Linked DNA regions of Callithrix jacchus. The protein of the gene in region 2 interacts with the protein of the main gene of each other region in a pairwise test. Links are inferred from orthologs where the notes say so. Each region holds a gene or a part of one and is shown on either strand. Other genes may lie near its edges.

Region 1 (3,750 bases), on a different chromosome or scaffold from region 2:
GTTCCACATGTGACAAGAGGAACACCCAGGCCCGTGTGGCCCTGTCTTAGGAGAGACAGCTGCTGGACCTCCCCGGCAGACACCTCCCTGCTGGCTCCCCTTTTCCTTTGGCCCTAGCTCCAGCTCCTTTCGTTCTTCCCAGTCCCAGTCTCCCCACAGTCTCTGTCCTCAGGGGCTTCCTGGCCTGACCTTGTTACCATCATCCCCCGCCCCCCAGAACTTCCTCGGCCTCTCTCCCGTTCCTCCTCGCCAAGGATGGGCATGCCTGCTGAGAAGTGTGGCCTAGATCCTGGAATTTTCCTGCTCAGCCAGACGAGATGTCTCCTAAGATTAGGAAGGAGGGTGCTGGGACGCCTGGGAGGATGGTGGGTGTGTGTGGGTGGGAGGGACAGGGAGGCAGGCGCCACCACCGAACCAAGATAAAGGAGGTTGGGAGTGGGCTGGAGAGGCAGAGGGTCTCTTGGGTGAAGGAAGGGGGTGAGAAAGCAAGAGGGGACATTGGAATGGGTCTGAGGATACGTTACAATGAGAGGGAGACACTGTCACTCCACAGAAAGGGGGTAACAGCAGAATGAGGAGCGGCCTCAGAGAGGAGGTAAGGAGGCAGGCTAGGCAGTGAGAGGCTGGCGTGGGGTTTGAGGGGTGCTGTGGACCCAGGCAGGGGGGAGATCCGTTGATGGGGCTTTCTTGTACATTGTCATCTGCAAGGGCAAGTCTTCATCCTTCGGGCGGGCAGAACAGAACCGGGTCCTCGCTCACTGAGCGGTCCAGGCCTCAGGCCTAGCCTCTGCCCCTCCCTGGCCAGAGTCTCCCGTCCTGGGCTGGCCACCGACCTCCTGGTCCAGCCGCCCTGTGGCCGCCGGCGGGGGGGCGGGGGGGCTCCGGGCCCGCCTCTCCTCCCCCTCTTCGCGCCCCCTGGTCCCTCCCCTCCCCCTCCCCCGCCCCTCCCTCCTCCCCTGCCCGGTCCCAGCCCCTCCCTCCCCTCCCCCACCCGCGATCCGGGCCGCCGCCGCTGGGCCGGACCCCCCGGGCTCAGCCCGGCCCCTCGCCGAGCCGCCGCCGCCGCCCCGTTTGCTGAGGAGGAGGCCCCCGGCCGGGGCGTTGGGCGCGAGGCATAAAACGGGCCGGAGCCGGCGCCCGGGGCAGTAGAGCCGCGTACGGCCCGGGTCAGTGCCCGCCTGCCTGCCCGCGCTCCTCCCTGCTGCTCCTCCCGCCCCGCCCGGCCCGGCGCCGACTCTGCGGCCGCCCGACGAGCCCCTCGCGGCACTGCCCCGGCCCCGGCCCCGGCCCCGGCCCCGGCCCCCTCCCGCCGCACCGCCCCCGGCCCGGCCCTCCGCCCTCCGCCCTCCGCCCCCCTCCCTCCGCCCGCTCGGCGCCCTCCTCCCTCCCGCCTCCCCAGCTGTCCCGTTCGCGTCATGCCGAGCCTCCCGGCCCCGCCGGCCCCGCTGCTGCTCCTCGGGCTGCTGCTGCTCGGCTCCCGGCCCGCCCGCGGCGCCGGCCCTGATCCCCCCGCGCTGCCCATCCGTTCCGAGAAGGAACCGCTGCCCGTTCGGGGAGCGGCAGGTAGGTGGGCGCCCGGGGGAGGCGCGGGCGGGAAGTCGGGCTCGGGCGCAGGTGGCTCGGCGCGGCTGGCGGCCGGAGGGTGGGCGGGGGCCGAGGGGCGCGGCGCCCGGGACCTGGGACCCGTGGGCAGCCCCAGGGGCGGCACACGGCGCGAGCAGGGCAGCGGCCGCCAGCCAAGCCCGTCCCCGCAGGCTGCTCCTTCGGCGGGAAGGTCTATGCCTTGGACGAGACGTGGCACCCGGACCTGGGGGAACCCTTCGGGGTGATGCGCTGCGTGCTGTGCGCCTGCGAGGCGGTGAGTACACCCCGCAGCCGGTCCGGGCCCTGGCGGGCGGGTGGGGAGCCCCGGGGTGCGCGGGCGTCGGAGTGAACTCGGAGCTGCCGAGGAGGAGGCCAGTCGGCAGAGGTTGGGGGGCGGTTTCTGGTGGAGGAAGAGGAACCGGCCCCTTCAAGTCTTAGGTGCTGACTGTGACTGATCGCCCACCCTGCGCGAGGCTCTGTGCCAACTGCGTTTCGTTCCCTGCTCACCTAACTCCCCTGGCAGCCTTCCTAGATAGACAGTATTATTATTCCCATTTTCCAGACGGGGACCGTGAGGCCCAGAGAGGTGAAGCAGCTTGTGTAGGGTCACGAAGCTTGCAAGTGGCAGAGCTGGCAGACTCTGCGGGACATCCTTGCCCGGGGGTCTCACCAGCTGGCATCTTGCACTCACTTGGTTTTCCCGCCTTTTCCGGGAGCAGCCTCAGTGGGGTCGCCGTACCAGGGGCCCTGGCAGGGTCAGCTGCAAGAACATCAAACCAGAATGCCCGACTCTGGCCTGTGGGCAGCCGCGCCAGCTGCCGGGACACTGCTGCCAGACCTGCCCCCAGGGTAAAGCTTGCTCCGCCCTGCGGGGAGGGCTGCGGGCCTTGATGCTAGGTCCCGAACCACTTGGATGGGGCGGCAGACTGGCCTTTACCACGGGCCCGCTGAAGCCCGTGCTCCCCTCCCGCTCCACCCCCGAACCACCCCCCCACCTCTTCGCAGAGCGCAGCAGTTCGGAGCCGCAGCCCAGCGGCCTGTCCTTCGAGTATCCGAGGGACCCGGAGCATCGCAGTTACAGCGACCACGGAGAGCCAGGCACTGAGGAGCGGGCCCGTGGTGACGGCCACACGGGTAGGGGGCTGGTGGACATTGGGGTTGTGGTTGAGGCTGGGCCACCAAAGCAGCGTTTGACAGTGCTCAGGCCATCTTCCTCCTGTCCCAGACTTCGTGGCGCTGCTGACAGGGCCAAGGTCGCAGGCGGTAGCACGAGCCCGAGTCTCGCTGCTGCGCTCTAGCCTCCGCTTCTCCATCTCCTACAGGCGGTGAGAAAGGGGAAGGAGCAAGGAGGGGTCAGCTGCCGGCCGGCCGGCCGGGAGGGAAACTGGGAGAGCCGGGAGGAGGAGCTGCTTTTGGCTCTGACCGGCCTCACCCGACCTCTCATTCCCAGGCTGGACCGCCCCACCAGGGTCCGCTTCTCAGATTCCAATGGCAGTGTCCTGTTTGAGCACCCTGCAGCCCCCACCCAAGATGGCCTGGTGAGATGATGCCATTTGTGAGCACTGGTCCAGTCTGGGCACTGTGCTGAGAGCATTCTCTGCATTGCCTTCTGTGGTCCTCACCACAGCCCAGTGGGAAGAAGGCACTGACAGGATGATGTCCATTTTACAGACAGGGGTACTGAGGCTCAGTAGGAGGGTGGGATTCTTGGAAGTACACAGCTAGCAAGTGGTGCAGCCAGGGCTGGAACCCAAGCATCTGGCTCCGGGGTTCTTTCTTAAGCTTCCTAGGGCACCCTGGAGGCTCCTTCCCATGTTCCTTTTTCACCAGGCCTTGGCCTGCTAACTGGCCTAGCCAGCGCAATATCTGAGCGTAGGGCCCTCTTGTCTATGCTCCAGGTCTGTGGAGTGTGGCGGGCAGTGCCTCGCTTGTCTCTGCGGCTCCTTAGGGCGGAACAGCTACATGTGGCACTTGTGACACTCACTCACCCTTCGGGGGAGGTCTGGGGGCCTCTCCTCCGGCACCGAGCTCTGGCTGCAGGTAGGGAGCACAGAGCCCCGGGTGTGGAGCTCCAAGTCTTCTCTGTCCCCAGGAAAGGGGAGGGAGGTTTCTGACGGGCTCTTGTCATCATCCCTTCCCCAGAGACCTTCAGTGCCATCCTCACAC
Region 2 (3,244 bases):
TACCAGACTTCCGGGAACCTGGGGGTGTCCTACTCCCACTCGAGTTGTGGTCCAAGCTATGGCTCACAGAACTTCAGTGCGCCTTACAGTCCCTATGCGTTAAATCAGGAAGCAGACGTAAGTGGTGGGTACCCCCAGTGCGCGCCCGCTGTTTACTCTGGAAATCTCTCATCTCCCATGGTCCAGCATCACCACCACCACCAGGGTTATGCTGGGGGCGCGGTGGGCTCGCCTCAATATATTCACCACTCATATGGACAAGAGCACCAGAGCCTGGCCCTGGCTACGTATAATAACTCCTTGTCCCCTCTCCACGCCAGCCACCAAGAAGCCTGTCGCTCCCCTGCATCAGAGACATCTTCTCCAGCGCAGACCTTTGACTGGATGAAAGTCAAAAGAAACCCTCCCAAAACAGGTCAGTCCTGGAGGTTGGTGGATGCTCCTTGATTAATCTGGAAGGAGCTGATATGCTTAATTTCCAAATAAAATTAATAATTTTTAAAATAAAAGGCTTTTGTATCGAACTAGTGTTGTAGTGCATGAAGAGCATGGAGAGGGTGCCCAGAGGTGTTGGGGCAAAGAAGCTTCAGGGACTGGTGTGTTTTCAAGGATTTTATACATTAGGGAAGTAGGAAGTGTGTGGGGATGGTGATTGTGAAGGTAGTGGTCTGTTAATATCTCCAGGCTCCATTAATCACCGTCTGACCACGCTAATGGTTGACTTCAGGTTAACACTTTACACCTTATCACTCACCCTCCACAGCTCGATTTGTGTTGAGTTCTTGATCTTTCCTTTACCTGAGTGTTGCCACGAAGTGTGTAGGGGATTTCAAGTTGATTTAAAAATTTTTACCTTTCCGTCTCATGGCTTCCCACTTTGCCCCAGGGAAAGTTGGAGAGTACGGCTACCTGGGCCAACCCAACGCGGTGCGCACGAACTTCACTACCAAGCAGCTCACGGAGCTGGAGAAAGAGTTCCACTTCAACAAGTATCTGACGCGCGCCCGCAGGGTGGAGATCGCTGCCTCCCTGCAGCTCAACGAGACCCAAGTGAAGATCTGGTTCCAGAACCGCCGAATGAAGCAAAAGAAACGGGAGAAGGAGGGTCTCTTGCCCATCTCTCCAGCCACCCCACCAGGAAACGAGGAGAAGGCCGAGGAATCCTCGGAGAAGTCCAGCTCTTCGCCCTGCGTTCCTTCCCCGGGGTCTTCTACTTAAGACACTCTGACTACCTCCCACTGAGGCGGCTCCAGCCCCTGACCACAGCCCAGGCATCTCTTTGGGCTAGGACTTCTTACCCAAAGCACACGCTTAGCTTATTTTTCTTTCCATTTACAATGTCTTTCTTTCTGATCCTATCTGGGGAGCTCCTGGCCAGGATAATGTGTTTGCAGATAATTCTGGACCAGAGACTTGGTAAGGGTTAACACCTTAATCCAGATTGGGTGCCAGCATCAATTTTCTGGTGGGCCTTAACATCCCTCCTGCTTTTAGGAGAATTCACAGAACCTGCTGTTCCTTTCAGATGCCCTTTTGGAAAATAGTTCCCTTTGCCAACAGAAACATGTCAGAGGGAATCTTCTCATCTTTTTATCTAACTACATGTACAGCTCTTCCCTCCCTTGCCCTTGAAAGTAGGATGTAGTAAAAGGAGAGTCCAGTAGCTCACGAAGAAGAGATGCACTATGTGTTTACACAACTAATTCATCCCTAATTTAATTCAGTTTCATGTGTGTGAGTTTGCTGTTTGTAAATACTTTGTCCTGAGAGATTTATCTTTTTACAGATTTTCTAGAAATGTTTAGATTAGATTACTAAAACAGGGTGGGCAAACTCTCAAAACTGGTACAATTTTATATGTGCTTATAGGTGAAAGAACAAATTCCCTCATTTAAACCCAATCGGATGCCTCAGAGGGTAGCCTCAATTTGTTCTTACAGTTAAGAAGGCCTGCAGAGCACAAAGTTCAGAAACCAGGCTTCCCGTGCTAAGTCTCTCCTAATCCCTACCCCTTTCTTCTCGGGCCACCCTCCGTTTAAAATTTGTGCTGGATAATCCAGAACCTAAAAGTATTATTCCAACCAACTTCTTCCTTCCACAGTTATCTTAGCTGGATATGTTGTATTTTCAGCTCAATTGTTAATGTGATGGATGGCACAATGAATGTATATTTTGTGTGATTCGTGAAGTCTTTTGCATGTCGCACAATGTTTGATGTTCCCGAAGTACCACACTGAGTTCTATCAGTTATCCTTTGTGAGCCTATGATATTCTCCATTTCCTGTACAATCAAGAACAGCTCTGAGATTCTAGAGTGATATGATCCAGAGCAGAGTTTACGGGTTTTAGGATGTCTGTAATAAATATATATACAAGTTTCAGGTATGCTTAAGCATCCGTGTATTTGGCTGGGCTACAATTTGTTAATTCCTACATTGGCACATTTCATGTGGGAAAAGGGAGAAGGGTAAATATTTTCAAAGAGATGAAACTTTTCTTGAATAAAAGTTAATGTTTTCCATTATCATGTAGCTGAAACTCCCCCATGAGTATAATTTCCCTTAACCAATGTCTGTTTAATAGGTTGATTCTCTTTAAAATTACAGCTCCTTTATTATAATCAAAGCTCATAATGAAAAAAAAAGACTGGTGAAGAAATTTATGAAGCAGATTTATTTTTGAAACAAACATGGATACTTCCTGGGTCAAGTGCTAACCTTTTCACCTCCAACTGGATGTTGACGTATATATAAACAGAACTCCCTTCAAAAGCCCAAACTGTCTTCAGTCAGTCTTTCCTCACATCAGTGAACCAAGAGCTAAGAGATTCACATTTAATTAGCTCCAGTATAAAGCTGTTGTGAGGATGGGGCCCTCATTCTACTCCTTTTCCTTCTTTTTGGGTTGTCAGGCAGAATTCCAATATATTCCACCCTTTAAATGTAGTGTTTTTAGTAAACCCTTGCATCCCTTTCCCCATTCTTCCTGTCAACATATATCCCTTCCTGTAGCTCTTCCCCGCTTCTTCCCCATCTCTGGATTGCACATCTCATTTCCTTCAGACTCAGTTTTGATTTTATAGCCATCATGGCTGTAATGGATCCACAGTTTTAATTCCATGCCACATAACCCAGAAAAAAATTATTTTCTTCTCTGGGCTCAACAGGTACTTCCAGGTGAACTTGTGGAAGCTACCCTGAAGTCTTTCAATATCCAAGTTGTTTCTGACCAAGGCACATATCTG
Region 3 (3,684 bases), on a different chromosome or scaffold from region 2:
TCTTATGAGAAATTGCCAAATTGTGTTCCAGACTGGCTATACTATTTTACATTCCTATCAGCAATGCCTGAATGATTCAGTTTCTCTGCGTCCTTCCAGCAGCTGGTGTCACAGTTTTAGCCATTTTTATAGCCATTATTTTTTTCATTTTAGCCATTCTGCTGGGTGTGTACTGACATTTCCCTGTGGTTTTAACTTGCAGCTCCCTAACGGCTGACAGTGCTGCCTATCTTTTCATATATTGATTTGCCATCTGCATAAGCTCTTCGGTAAAATGCTTGCTGATGTCTTTTGCCCAGATTCTTGTTGGACTCTTTGTCTTTTACTCTTGAGTTTTGAGAATTCTTTATTCTAGGTTCAAGGCTTTTGGCAGACATGAGGGTGAAAGCATTTTCCTGCCATGTGTATGCCGTCTTTCATCCTCTCAACAGTCTTTGGCATGACAAAAGCTTTTAATTCTAATGAAGTCTGATTTATTGGTTTATTTTCTTGAACTGATCATGATTTTTTGATGTCTGTGTACTCTTTGCTTAGCCCTAGCTCATAAATATTTTCTCTCATTTTTTTTCCTAAAAGTTCTATAGTTTCACATGGAGTTGTACATTTAAGTCCATAATCCATTTGGGGGTAATTGTTACATAAACTGCAAGGCGTAGGTTGAGGATTTTTTAGAATTTCTCACTGACCCCCGGACATATAGACACATTTTAGCCCAAGTTCCCTCTCTCTGCCTCTACATGTATGTTGTTAGACCTTATTTCACATGTACCTTAAATTTCACTGCTTTCATTCTAACACCAGGCTTCTTCAATCGTCTTGTCCTATACTGATCATATTCCTTCCCTAATATCTTACTGATTGAATGTACAATTGTTATGTAGGTATCTTATATTATTAACATGAGTCACGCTGATAATATGCTATATGCTTGTCTTTCTCAATATAAAGTAAGTCTCCAGAAAGGAGGGAGCATATCTTGCTGTTTCTCTTTATTTCCTACAGCTCCTAGCCCAATGTTTCGCAGTTAGTAAGGATTCAATGATATCTGCGGACTCAAAATGAGTTGAGTGTTTCCATCCTTTACATTTGCTAGAAGGGCACGTTTCCTCTTTCTGTATTCAGATGCAATATAAAAAGATTTTTTTCAAAAGGCAAAACTGAGTGAAAGAGCCAGTAGCATCCCAAGTGGATTTCTCCCTTGCTGCTGCTGTGCAGGCTGGAGCCTATTAGCAGGTCAGTGAGGTTAGGATGGAACTTAGGCTGCTCAGCACCGGCGTGTATGGTCGATTCTGGGAAGGTGCAATACTGATTCTTAAATGTTTTTGCATTTTGTCTTTGATTCCACTTACAGCATACCTTCTCAACACACTTAGAACTCTGAAATTATATGTGTGTGCGTGCCTGTATATACATACATACATACACAACAGCGCACATACGCGTCACACAGTGGGTGTATTTGTTGTTGTTGCTGTCTGTTTCCTCAAAGTAGCCTCCACGTTCTGTATTTCAGAAACATCTTTTGCATGTGTTGCCGACATTAAGATGTCCATTAATTCGGGACTCTTGGTCACTACATCCCATTTCATTGCAGTTTCCCAAACTCCTAGTGCTCAGATGATAATTTGTGTTAACCCTTTTTATTTTTATTTTTTTCCCCTCCGCTAATGCCAAATGGTTAAAATAACATGAGAAGAAAGGGCAGATCTAGAGAATTACATAAAGAATTTGCAAATAAATGATGATTATTATCAGAATATGAACCACGGCAAGAACAGGTGAATTTTCTGGTGTTAAAGTATTGGAACAGTTTTGTAGTTTTGCAGCATTTAGTTCTGAGTGTGCGCATTGCTCATTAGACATTAACACATGTCCGTATTCTACACCAAGGAACCTTTCAGGAGATAGTTCTATTAATAGCTAAGAGGATTTACAGGCTCACACTGTATTTTCTTCAAAGACACGTGTAACATCCAGCAGGAAAACTGTCACTCTTTGCATAAATAATGTGATTACCTACTGATACAAACTCATGACGTGCTTAGGAAATGCACGTCAGGAAACTTTGATTTTGGAAAAATCAAAGTTTGGAAACCCCTTAGCTCTTTAATGTTCTTATGTTCCTTTATTAGTTTATCATTTTTTTCCTAGGAATTATTTTAGAAAGCAGTCCGTAATTTTTCTTTCAGTATTATTATATGGGATATAATATTTATATCGGCGAAAGATACCCAAGGGCTAATACCAGTAGCCACAAAATCTGTCTAGATTTGCTGAGTGTTATAGCCTGAAACATGCAAACAAACAAAAAAGCAATAAACTATCATTTGTTTTGGTAAAGGGACTCTGTATAGACAGGAGAAAATTAGATAGATCAGGTAATTACCTTCTAGGTTCTAGATTTCCCTAGGGGTTGGTTTGAAAACATTTTCGATCAAACGTTAAGATAAGTGAGCAACGGCACTAAAGCTTGCCTATAGTTTATATTCGTTCTGAGTAAACACCTTCCCTTGACAGGAAAGGATCATGGATTGTGGAGATCATCTTACCTTGAAGTCAGGCGCAGCCCTGGGGTCTCCATTTTCTGTGGTTTGGTGAATGTCTGCGTTATATCTCTGAGCCCTAAACAGGGGCAGAAACTGCGTCCATATAGACGGCCTGGAGAAATGTTTCTGGAGGCACTCTTGGCTATCTTGGGAAAGCTGGGGCATGTTTTTACAATAAAGGCCCCAAATGAGTCCTGTGGCCTGGTTATGCCGATATTAGCACAGGATCCACTCTGTCTCTCTTCGTTCGGCTAATGCTGGGCTGGCTCTGAGTCTGTGGGGAGGCTCCTTGGAAAGTTACACTAATGAAAGCAACAGGATTATCTGCTGTGTGGATCAGTAGCTTATCCACAGATCTTTCATCTTCTATTCTTGGTAGAGCTGCTTACTTGAATGTCTAGGTGCCGTATGTTATGAGTGCCCTCTAAAGGTAGAAATGTATTCTTAATTCAGATGTAATCCTAAATCGAAACGGAAAGAAATGATCCAAGTGATATACAGCTTAGCATATAGTGATAAACAGATTTCCTGGCAAAATTCTGTATTAGTGGCATGTGACAGGCAATAGTACTTGACAATCTTGGGCTGTGCAATTGACAGACAGGTGGTTGGCCCAAACTTTCCAAGTTGCTTAAAAAGTTATTTTAATTGCAATCAACTCTTTAGCTAGAAACTGATGCAAAACTCATACCCAAACTTAAACTCAAGGGTTATTTTGCTTTTTATGTACATCATGTGGAATAAGTTACATTGATTTTCTTATGAGACAACTAGACAATAAGTAAGCCAAGAATTGACTTCTAACACTACTTCATATTTATAAACTGCTTTATAAATGTAAGATTATTAAGCAGAAAGGAAAAGATAGAATACCTTTCTGTCAAGAGGTAACTAATGCCCAGGTAGCTTCTGTTGGGTTTGAGGGTGCACAAAGATAAGAGATGTATATTGCTGGGGTCTATAAACTAAAGAGTTTCCTTTCGTAAAACCGCTTTATAGATTCAAGGCAATCTCTATCATATCTCGGCTCCTTTCTTCTGCAGAAGTTGACAGTAGATTCTAAACATTCGTATAAAATTTTAAGGGGCTGGGCACGGTGGCTCATGCCTGTAACCCCAGCACTTTGGGAGGCTGAGGG

What was found.
Region 1: the proteins of HOXA1 (region 2) and CHRD interact in binary tests that used the Homo sapiens proteins (3 or more experiments, as listed by UniProt). The link is inferred for Callithrix jacchus from reciprocal best matches to the Homo sapiens genes HOXA1 and CHRD.
Region 3: the proteins of HOXA1 (region 2) and RGS20 interact in binary tests that used the Homo sapiens proteins (3 or more experiments, as listed by UniProt). The two-hybrid records come from large-scale screens. The link is inferred for Callithrix jacchus from reciprocal best matches to the Homo sapiens genes HOXA1 and RGS20.

The regions. Positions count from the first base shown.
Region 1 is NC_133516.1:13,356,817-13,360,566, forward strand, and holds the start of CHRD (chordin), read left to right. Parts: upstream 1-1,406; 5' UTR 1,407-1,415; coding exon 1,416-1,563; intron 1,564-1,754; coding exon 1,755-1,858; intron 1,859-2,303; coding exon 2,304-2,433; intron 2,434-2,589; coding exon 2,590-2,718; intron 2,719-2,809; coding exon 2,810-2,909; intron 2,910-3,034; coding exon 3,035-3,122; intron 3,123-3,482; coding exon 3,483-3,624; intron 3,625-3,726; coding exon 3,727-3,750. UniProt on the Homo sapiens protein: Dorsalizing factor. Key developmental protein that dorsalizes early vertebrate embryonic tissues by binding to ventralizing TGF-beta family bone morphogenetic proteins (BMPs) and sequestering them in latent complexes.
Region 2 is NC_133512.1:31,001,724-31,004,967, forward strand, and holds the end of HOXA1 (homeobox protein Hox-A1), read left to right. Parts: coding exon 1-415; intron 416-886; coding exon 887-1,218; 3' UTR 1,219-2,659; downstream 2,660-3,244. UniProt on the Homo sapiens protein: Sequence-specific transcription factor. Regulates multiple developmental processes including brainstem, inner and outer ear, abducens nerve and cardiovascular development and morphogenesis as well as cognition and behavior.
Region 3 is NC_133517.1:807,224-810,907, forward strand, and holds the start of RGS20 (regulator of G-protein signaling 20), read right to left. Parts: upstream 2,817-3,684; 5' UTR 2,712-2,816; coding exon 2,550-2,711; intron 1-2,549. UniProt on the Homo sapiens protein: Inhibits signal transduction by increasing the GTPase activity of G protein alpha subunits thereby driving them into their inactive GDP-bound form.